Linked DNA regions of Macaca fascicularis. The protein of the gene in region 2 interacts with the protein of the main gene of each other region in a biochemical or structural test. Links are inferred from orthologs where the notes say so. Each region holds a gene or a part of one and is shown on either strand. Other genes may lie near its edges.

What was found.
Region 1: the proteins of ANGPT1 (region 2) and TEK form a complex in vitro, tested with the Homo sapiens proteins (6 studies listed by BioGRID and IntAct, with this or other methods). The link is inferred for Macaca fascicularis from reciprocal best matches to the Homo sapiens genes ANGPT1 and TEK.
Region 3: the proteins of ANGPT1 (region 2) and TIE1 interact in a biophysical measurement, tested with the Homo sapiens proteins (2 studies listed by BioGRID and IntAct, with this or other methods). The link is inferred for Macaca fascicularis from reciprocal best matches to the Homo sapiens genes ANGPT1 and TIE1.

Annotation. Positions count from the first base shown.
Region 1 is NC_088389.1:71,763,611-71,767,266, forward strand, and holds part of TEK (angiopoietin-1 receptor), read right to left. Parts: intron 945-3,656; coding exon 645-944; intron 1-644. UniProt on the Homo sapiens protein: Tyrosine-protein kinase that acts as a cell-surface receptor for ANGPT1, ANGPT2 and ANGPT4 and regulates angiogenesis, endothelial cell survival, proliferation, migration, adhesion and cell spreading, reorganization of the actin cytoskeleton, but also maintenance of vascular quiescence.
Region 2 is NC_088382.1:117,071,458-117,075,131, reverse strand, and holds the start of ANGPT1 (angiopoietin-1), read left to right. Parts: upstream 1-730; 5' UTR 731-1,089; coding exon 1,090-1,386; intron 1,387-3,674. UniProt on the Homo sapiens protein: Binds and activates TEK/TIE2 receptor by inducing its dimerization and tyrosine phosphorylation.
Region 3 is NC_088375.1:191,448,471-191,451,813, reverse strand, and holds the end of TIE1 (tyrosine-protein kinase receptor Tie-1), read left to right. Parts: intron 1-994; coding exon 995-1,035; intron 1,036-1,121; coding exon 1,122-1,218; intron 1,219-1,341; coding exon 1,342-1,441; intron 1,442-2,379; coding exon 2,380-2,451; 3' UTR 2,452-2,837; downstream 2,838-3,343. UniProt on the Homo sapiens protein: Transmembrane tyrosine-protein kinase that may modulate TEK/TIE2 activity and contribute to the regulation of angiogenesis.

The DNA.
Region 1 (3,656 bases), on a different chromosome or scaffold from region 2:
ACAACACAGAGAGCCAGGAGGTGCCTCTGCATAGACTTGAAGTCAATCCTCCTGCTGCAGCTCCACCCACATGGGGCCCTTGTTCACTTAATTACACTCAACAGACTTTATCAATCACAAACCATGGGCACAGTATGGCATCCTGAGAGGATCTCTAGTTCAAAGAACATACTCTTTCTGGGGTTGGGCTTAGTGGTGGACATGGAGACCTAATAACCTGCATCAGTAAAGTAGAAGAAGACTCAGAATTGCACAGTGTCATCCAAGCTAAAAGAGGAGTGTTTGAGGAAGAATGAAACATGGTTCTTGGAGCCTCCTACTGGAGCTCTTGCGCAGCCTGCCTTCTATAAGCAGTTCCCACATTCTTCTCCTTGGAATTAAAATTCATATTCCTTAGAGCTTTCTTCTTAGATTGCTGGATGGGGTATGCTGAAAGACTGATCTATTCTAAGGTTTAACAATAGAAAATGGACCAACAGGGATCCTTTTAAGAGGCATTTTGATATTAAGGACCTCTCTGTAAATGCCTATCCATTCAACCACCGACCTTTCATAGGCTTTCATCTCACAGGCCTGTCCTGATAAACCAGCTGCCTAGAGGGCTGCACGATAATCCTACATAAATACCTGTCCATTCAACCAACCTTCAGATTCTGGGAGGGTCACTAGTTCATGAGAAAAGGCTGGGTTGCTTGACCCTATGTTGTTCTCTGCAAAAATGTCCACCTGGTAAGCTGTTTCAGGCTCTAGGCCCTTGAGCTGATACTGAGTGATGGTGGCATTCTTTATCTTCACATCAATGTGCTGATCTTCATTCTTGCCTTGAACCTTGTAACGGATAGTAATAGAAGAAATAGAATAGCCATCCAATATTGTCCAAGAAATCACAGCCGAGGAGTGTGTGATGTTGGAAATCTTGATGTTTTCTGGTTGAGGAGGAAGAACTAGAAATTAAAAAGAAAAAAGATTCAATTAAGATATACTACCATGTCTTAGATCATTATGCTTTTGAGATAGGGTTCACGTCCCCTCATAAACCATGAAAGGCAAACAGATGTTTCCTCAGATCGTATTCCAATCAATTGGTAGTGGCTACTGGACTCCAAGCAGACTTGAAAGAGTGGCACAGTCAGGGAAATGGCAACACACATATCATCTATTAGTCATCTTGACACTAAATGAAGGCCTTAGAAATTGTTATTCCACAAACCTGTGCTTACTATTCTTGATGCTGGGAAGAATGGAAAGCTTATGAGGGCTGGCATTTATATAGTGCTTACAATATGGCAGGCATTGATCTAGGCTCTTGTATATATTAACTCACTTCCTCTTCATAGCAGTCTTTCTGTAAGTGCTGAGGTCTGGACAGATTAAGTGACTTAGCCATGGTGACACTACTGTTAAGTAGAAGAAACAAGATTCACCTCCTGGCAGTCTGGCTCTGTAGTCCATAGTCTTAGTGTCATGTGGTCTGTCCTTGCCCTAAATTTATGGAGCAACTGGCAGGTCAGTGTATACATGAGAAAATGTGCTAATAACTTTTAGTAGACAAAGTATTATAGGGATTTGGGGAAAAGTAGAATCACATTCCATTCAGGGACATAGGCAGGATGAGAAAGAGATGCCTTGAGGTTTTCTACATGTGGAGATGGCAGGCACCGCATCATCACTACATTCTCACTCAAACTCTAAAGGGCACAGGCTAGAAGGGAAGTTCATGACCCGATAAAGGTTAAGCCTATTTCATCCGGGAAAAGAATGGATTTGAGCTCTTGTCCTTAATAGTAACTGAACTTACATTTATGAGGCTATTTACAATGTGCTTCCACATGCAGACACTCTCTTGACTTGTATAACCACACAGTACTGAGATTTTTATGATCCACATTTTAGAGATGAGAAAACTGAAACTTCAAAAATTTAAGGGTTTTGTACTCGTCCCAAAAGGTGAATAGTAGACGTAGGCTATTTCATTCCATACACCATTGTTTTTCCACATGAAAGTTACTACTTATAAACAAATTAGAACCTTTGAGAAGTATCTCAAGGTACATCCTTTCTATTTTAAATTTCTTCTTTTCATTATGTTGATTCCCCTTTGTTACTCTTTAGGGCACTATGGCAATTTATGAGAATTAGGTATTGGATTTAGAACCTTCCAAATCTAATTGTTATGTTCTATGTCTAGCAGGTGGTACAGTATCCAAAAATCACAATTAATCATCAGTATGTCTTAACTTTCTTTACATCCAGTACCAAGTATTTTGTATAGTTTTATAAAAATATACAATAGTCTTTCTTCCCACAGGAGATTGAAGGGGTGATAGAAATACCAACATTTTCAGATTACTATCATCACATATTTATATTTGTATAGTTGTGGCTCAAAAAAATTTAACTTCATACACCAGTGGTCTTCTAAGCCTGTCACAAAAAGTAGCAGTGTCTTTTAGATGATTGTTAGAAAAATAATGAATATAATTTTTGTGCCAACTAAAAATCATAAATTTGCATCTACCAACTTATCCATTTTATGCTTGAAAGGAGTCACTCTTAGGGATAGCTCAATAAACCTTTGATTTAAATTCAGTGGGTCTGGACCCAGCAATCTACATTTTAGCAGGTTCTCTGGGTGACTCTAAAATAGCTTCTAAAATGCTTTAGGAAACACTAACCAGACCTTAAACAATTTAGAAATAGGATATCACCACTAAAGAACCTCTAGAACCATAGTTGCTTTGAAGCAGTGGGTTGCCCATCCAAAGAGACAAGTGGAAGACATTTGTAGCGTGGTTGGAGAAAAAACAAAAAAAATAGAAATAAAATGTGGATTAGAATCCTAATCCATCCCCATGCCGTACTAGTTCCATAATTTTGGGCAAGTCACTTACCCTCTTCTGTGCCTCAGGTTCCTCATCTGTTAAATGTGATAATCACTCTTACTCTACCTTCCTCAAAAAGTCATTGTAAGGGTCAAATACTCCCCATGTAAATGTTTTCCAATAGGAAAACATAACACACATATATTATTTTTAACATATAATTGGGGTGATATGCCAAATCTAATTCACTCCACTTCTTACCCCTGGACAAGATGGAATTGCTAGGCTGGAAACCAACACAAACTTTGTAATTGGAAGTATTAATTTTACTTGTGAATATACATGATCAGCCAATGACAACACAGCATATTAACAAATATTTTCAGGTAAAAATGAGATGTTCTCATTCATATCCTCCTTCCTCAGATTTCCTGACCCCACAGGGATCAAATCCTACCCTGCCAATCTCACATCCCTACTACCACCACCAGCATTGACCCTCCATCAAACTTCATACAACCATCCAAGGCAAGTTGACTCCCAGTAACTATTAACTAGTTTTTGTTTAATTCTATAAATATGATACTGGTAGTGTGATTTTGAGAGTGTATCATTCTAATGAGGATGAAACTTACATAGAATAGTGAGTGAGCACCTAAGACAATTTTGAAATAGGAAACAGTGATTCATCCCACAGTTACTGACATTTCACAAGTCTCTAGTTAATTTGAATATGCTAGAAATTGTGCCGGAACAAACAGATCAATGGAAGAGAACAGAACACCCAGAAATAGATGCAAAATGAATATGAGAACCTGGCATATGATACAGAAA
Region 2 (3,674 bases):
TCAGTTTATATACACGGAACACGAAGGGTTGCATTCTGATCAGGACACCAGTTTCATTTAAGACCCCTATACCAAAAGGTACTTAGATAATCCTCTTTAATATGCATATACTATATTGCTTTGTGCAACATATTGCTTTGAGCAACAAATGATGCTAATTTTCTTGCTACTTTGATCCTCTCTGATTATTTTCTTCAACTCCTAAAAGTCTAAGTGAATACGATGAAAGAATACCCCCTGTAAAAATTGTTATTTTACATATTTTTCCTCAGAGTCAAGAATACATGTTTTTAAAAGACATTTAATAATGATACGGGTTTATCATTCTCTATCAAAAATAATTTCATTGGACATCATGCCAATTTTCTTCTTAGGGTCCCTCGACTAAATAGTAACTTTAAAAACATACTGCTAGTTGGCTGTATTTTAGTAGGTCAGCATGCACACCAAAAGTGTATTAAGGTGGACTGCTCTATTTATTGATTTGCCATGAATCTGTTAAAGGCTCAAGGCAATTGTCTGCGGAAGGGGGCGGGAGGGCCATACATGATCGAGGTCATGCGCATCTAGCCAATTTGTAAGACGATCCTGCCGCCCTAAGCCATCAGCAATCCTTAGCATAGGGGCACACTCACGCATTCCTGTCAAGTCATCTTGTGAAAGGCTGCCTGCTTCCAGCTTGGCTTGGATGTGCAACCTTAATAAAACTCACTGAGGTCTGGAAGAAAATAGCAGATCTGAAGCAGATAGGGTAGAGGAAAGAGTCTAGAATATGTACACGCAGCTGACTCAGGCAGGCTCCACGCTGAACGGTCACACAGAGAGGAAACAATAAATCTCAGCTACTATGCAATAAATATCTCAAGTTTTAACGAAGGAAAATATCATTACAGTGAAATAAAAAATTTTAACATTTTAGAACAAAGCTAACAAATGGCTAGTTTTCTATCATTCTTCTTCAAACGCTTTCTTTGAGGGGGAGAGAGTCAAACAAACAAGCAGATTTACCTGAAATAAAGAACTAGTTTAGAGGTCAGAAGAAAGGAGCAAGTTTTGCGAGAGGCACGGAAGGAGAGTGCTGGCAGTACAATGACAGTTTTCCTTTCCTTTGCTTTCCTCGCTGCCATTCTGACTCACACAGGGTGCAGCAACCAGCGCCGAAGTCCAGAAAACAGTGGGAGAAGATATAACCGGATTCAACATGGGCAATGTGCCTATACTTTCATTCTTCCAGAACACGATGGGAACTGTCGTGAGAGTACGACAGACCAGTACAACACAAACGCTCTGCAGAGAGATGCTCCACACGTGGAACCGGATTTCTCTTCCCAGAAACTTCAACATCTGGAACATGTGATGGAAAATTATACTCAGTGGCTGCAAAAAGTAAGTGATTGCTTTCAGTTTCTAATAGCACGGAGCTTTTTCCGTTCTTGCACTGCAGCTAACTTAAAGTTCCTTAGGGGCGCATTTGTGTGTTTACCTTTTGCTCCAGGGGGGCAGTGTTTGCAATTGCAAGACGGCTGTCTGGGTTTGGCTTCCTGGGTAAGCCAAGGTTTGGGGGCTTGCGCAATCCTATGAATGTGTGGGGGCACCCCGTGTGTGTCTAGCCCTGGTAAATTTTATGACATTTCTGGTTTCTCTTGTTTAAAGTTCAGCATTAAGAGTCTTTCTGTCAAAACTCTACCTTAAGAAAGAAAGCATGTACCTCTTAAGCAAGTTGGTGAAAAATAAATAATCGTAATGACTATACTAATTAATAAGATCAAATCGATTTTGCACCAGAAAATTTTGTGCCACTGGGGTGGCAAATCATCACAAAGTATTTGTTTTTTTTTTTTTAACCTTTAGAAAAATTAACATGAAGTGAGAGTAAATGTAAAATATGATATTTGGTTGGAGAAATTGTATATTTATGTAAAGGGAACCGTTAATTTCAGCAAGTGGTAGAATAGTAGAGGACTGATTTCTGTTAAATATTTTTTCTTCTGTCCTTGAGAAAAAAAAATTTAAAAAGATACGTTGTAATGTGAACTGTCAGAAAGGGCTTGCTTGCTCACAATGAGAACACGCTGGCTGTTGAGGAAGACATGCACCTGCAGATTTGGGCTGAACGCAACATGTAGTCTCTACTATATTCCTGAAACACCTCCCTTCTCAGGGCATTGTAGTTACAGAGACAGTACCTGGCAAGTTTAAGTATCCATGTTATTTGATGAATGTTAATGTCGAGTATGAATGTAAACTCAATTTATAGAAATCAAATCAAATAGTTTATCCAGTTATTTATCTACAAACCATTTAAAAGTTTTTGTTGAAGATATGCCTATTAAATTATGAACACACTTCTGCAATTCATTCTGTCTTTGCACTCTGTTTAATAATAGGCAGCCGAGAATAAGTATATTCCACTGACTATGCCACTAGAATGGAGGCAATGTCCCAATTTGTGAAAAGCTTCTCTCCCTCGTTAATGGATTAACTTGGTACATATAAATAGGTATGCAATCAGGCTTCTTTAAGTTAGTCTGTAAACGAGGCAATCCCTTTAAAAAGATAAAAGATAGGGAAAGGACAAATGCTCTATTTTGTTCCTGTGTGATCACACTCGCTTAGGTCATCGCCTGCTGAATCATGCCAAGTAATAGTTATTCTACTTTTGTCCACTAGGGACTGAACTAAGATCACTGTTATTTTATTTGACACATTAACTGGAACTTAGTAGTTCTACAGTTTCCAAACCTGATATTGTAATCTTTCTATTACAGACTATAGGACTGTAATACGCAATCAGTAGGTAGGTAGAAGAATAAAAAGCAAACAGAACTCTCGGGTTTTTTTCAATTGTAGCTTAAATTTTAGGCACTACTTTCAATAGTAGTTTATAATAGGATGTTTGTATTTTTCTTTGGTAAAACTTATTTCCATTGTAAACAAATGATTTTGGTTGAATAGCTTGTTGTTATTCTTCAGTACACCATCCATATAGTTTTTAGTGAGAATCCAATCATATATTAGTCTGGATTCTTTGAGGGAATGGGGAGGAAAATTTAGTCCCAAGTTACCCCGAATGATCTATTCTACCAAAAACGTAATGTTTTGTTTGCTTAAAACGTATAATCAAAATAGTGATTCAAACATAGTAATGCATATGTCTTGTTGCTATGCAATTATTCAGCAGTGACAGGGTAAACACATAATTCTGCTGGACTTAAATCATGCACGTGTTTCATATGTTAATTTATTTTGCAAAATAAATTTGATTCTTGTTTGCATTGTTCTTGGTCAATGATTGTGGGATAGCTTTCAGATTATAGCCAAGAATAACTATTAAAATGTTCTTTGGTTACATTGACCCTTTCAAGTGTAAATATCAAGCTGAATATATGCTGAAAACGTCCCTATTGGTATGAGTCAGAGCAGTGTGGCTTGACTATTGTCAGTTTAAATTTGCATATCTTTTGTCGTTGTCAATGTGATTGGTTGGAGGATCAAGAAACCAAATAAATGCATTCAACAAAGAACTTGCTAAAGGCTTTCATAAGTTTCCCTTAATTAGGAGTTTTCTTCACTCCAAGTTCTAAAATTCATGTGATGTATTGATTCTGATAATAGAAATGGGAATCTTTTTACTGTAACTATTTGGTATGCTCAGTACTGCAATTTGTATTACT
Region 3 (3,343 bases), on a different chromosome or scaffold from region 2:
CTGCCACTAACTAGCTGTATGGCCTTGGGCAATCTAGCTAACCTCTCAGTGCCTCAGTGTCTTCATCTGTAAAATGGCAAGAATAATAGAACCTGTATCATAGGGTTGGTGTGAGGGTTAAATGAATTAACATATCTGTTAAATGACCAGTGCCTGGACTACAGTAAGTGCTCAATGAAAATGTTAGCTTGGCTGGCTGTGGTGGCCCACGTGTGTAATCCCAGCACTATGGGAGGCCAGGCAGGCAAATCACTGGAGACCCAGAGTTTGAGACCAGCCTGGGCAAGATGGCAAGACCCTGTCTTTACTAAAAATACAAAACATGGCCGGGTGTGGTGGCTCACATCTGTAATCCCAGCACTTTGGGAGGCCAAGGCGGGCGGATCACGAAGTCAGGAGATTGAGACCATCCTGGTTAACACAGTGAAACCCCGTCTCTACTAAAAATACAAAAAGAAATTAGCCAGGCGTGGTGGCGGGCGCCTGTAGTCCCAGCTACTGGGGAGGCTGAGGCAGGAGAATGGTGTGAACCCGGGAGGCAGAGCTTGCAGTGAGCTGAGATCTCGCCACTGCATTCCAGCCTGGGCGACAGAGCAAGACTCTGTCTCATAAATAAATAAATAAATAAATAAATAAATAAATAAACAAAACATTAGCTGAGCATGGTGGCACATGCCAGCTATAAGGGAGACTGAGGCGGGAGGACCACTTGTTCCTGGGAGGTTGAGGCTGCAGTAAGCCACTGCACTCCAGCCTGGATGACAGGGTCTGTTTCAAGAAAAAAAAAAATTAGCTCTAATGGTGTTGAGCCCAGGGATGGGGGCAGTATGAAGGAGCTTCACTGGAGCAGAGACAACAGCTGGCCAAGGCCAGATACTTACAGAGTAGACACATACAGGGGGGCTGGGAGGTACTGCACATCTTGGGTAGGTAGAAACTAAACTGCTAGGGGCCAGGGCCTAGAAGGTAACTAAGTGCATCCTTCTTATTTCAGCTGGTCCTTTGGGGTCCTTCTCTGGGAGATAGTGAGCCTTGGTGAGTTCCTAACCCCCATTGCCCAGAGTGCCCCACCTTACCCCACGTGGAGCCCTGGACCAAGAGCACTTTGTCCCCTCCTGCAGGAGGTACACCCTACTGTGGGATGACCTGTGCCGAGCTCTACGAAAAGCTGCCCCAGGGCTACCGCATGGAGCAGCCTCGAAACTGTGACGATGAAGTGTGAGTCACCCCATCCTTGAGCTCCATGACCCTATCTCTGTGATGAGTGACCTCAACTTTGATCCCTGTGACCCCATCACCCCAGCTGGACTGACTCCTCATCTCAGCAATGCCCCCTCGCAGGTACGAGCTGATGCGTCAGTGCTGGCGGGACCGTCCCTATGAGCGACCCCCCTTTGCCCAGATTGCGCTGCAGCTAGGCCGCATGCTGGAAGCCAGGAAGGTGAGGAGACTGGGGCTGAGGTGGCGGGTTGGGCTCACAGAGTGCTCCAGAGTGCCCTCTCAGAGGTGCCGTGACCCTGTCCCAACCACACTACCTGCCCAAACTCCCTCACTGGGGGCTGTCACCACAGCTAGGCTGGGCCCCAAGATGCAGCCTGCCTTTCCAGCCCTCACTGGGTTAGACACCAGGCCCTTCCAAAACTCTTTCAAGGCCACTGCTTAGCCCCAGCAGCAAATCCCTCCCTTGAGTCCCAAGTCCCAGACTGCTTGCCTGTCCTCTGCTGAGGCCATCAGCCCATTCTCATCTGGGACACCTCTCCCTACCTGCCAGAGCCAGAGCAGAGTGCATGAATGGTCACTAACCAAATGGATGGATGGGTAAATGAGTGATACAGTAACTGTATGAATGAATGAATGAATGAATGGAATTAGTGGATAGATGATACAATAATCATATAAACATGTAATTCAATAACTGAATCTACTAACCATGTGAATAAGTGAATTATCAAATAAATATAATGAAAAATATATCAAAATTAGTAAATATGAAGAGTTCTTCAAGTAAATTAATGATTAACTATCTTAAGAATGAGGGAATGATCAAATAACCATATAAATGGGTGAGTCATCTAAAATGGCTTTTGAACAGATAAGTTACTTAATGAATGAATGCATAAGCCAAGAATTCACTGAAAGAGTGCATGTAAAAACCGTCCTCTAACAGTGGCATTGAGGGCCTCTCACCTGAGGCCCCAGCTGTGGCCTGATGCCTTCACTGCCCTGGGCTGGTAAAGGCCACTCTTGGCCATGGGGCCATCTTGAGTCTCCAGAACAAATCAGTGTCAGTTCAAATGCCCCAACCACATGGAAGTCAAAGAGCTTGCGGCCAGATTCATCCCTATTCCTGGCCCCCACTAAAGCTTGCTCTGCCCCTAGGCCTATGTGAACATGTCGCTGTTTGAGAACTTCACTTATGCGGGCATTGATGCCACAGCTGAGGAGGCCTGAGCTGCCATCCAGCCAGAACCTGGCTCTGCTGGCCAGAGCAAACTCTGCTGTCTAACCTGTGACCAGTCTGACCCTTACAGCCTCTGACTTAAGCTGCCTCAATGAATTTTTTTAACTTAAGGGAGAAAAAAAGGGATCTGGGGATGGGGTGGGCTTAGGGGAACTGGGTCCTCATGCTTTGTAGGTGTCTCATAGCTATCCTGGGCATCCTTCCTTCTAGTTCAGCTGCCCCACAGGTGTGCTTCCCATCCCACTCCTTCCCCAACACAAACCCCCACTCCAGCTCCTCTGCTTAAGCCAGCACTCATACCACTAACATGCCCTGTTCAGCTACTCCCACTCCCGGCCTGTCATTCAGAAAAAAATAAATGTTCTAATAAGCTCCATTCAATGTCTGCCTTTTACTGCTGGTCAATCTTGGGGTGAGGGGTGTAGTTAAACCCAAGAGACAGAAATTGGCCGGGCACGGTGGCTCATGCCTGTAATCCCAGCACTTTGGGAGGCCGAGGCGGGCAGATCACGAGGTCAGAAGATGGAGACCATCCTGGCTAATATGGTGAAACCCCATCTCTACTAAAAATGCAAAAAATTAGTTGGGCGAGGTGGCGGGCACCTGTAGTCCCAGCTACTCGGGAGGCTGAGGCAGGAGAATGGCGTGAACCCAGGAGGTGGAGCTTGCATTGAGCCGAGATAGCGCTACTGCACTCCAGCCTGGGCCACAGAACGAGACTGTCTCAAAAAAAAAAAAAAAGAAAAAAAGAAAAAAGAAACAATATATAGACATGGCCTCTACCTCGCTGGATCTTCAGACTTATACGGGAAACAAACATTAAAGTATACAAATTATTGTTTTTGGCAAACTTTTTTTTTTTTTTTGAGACAGTCTCGTTCT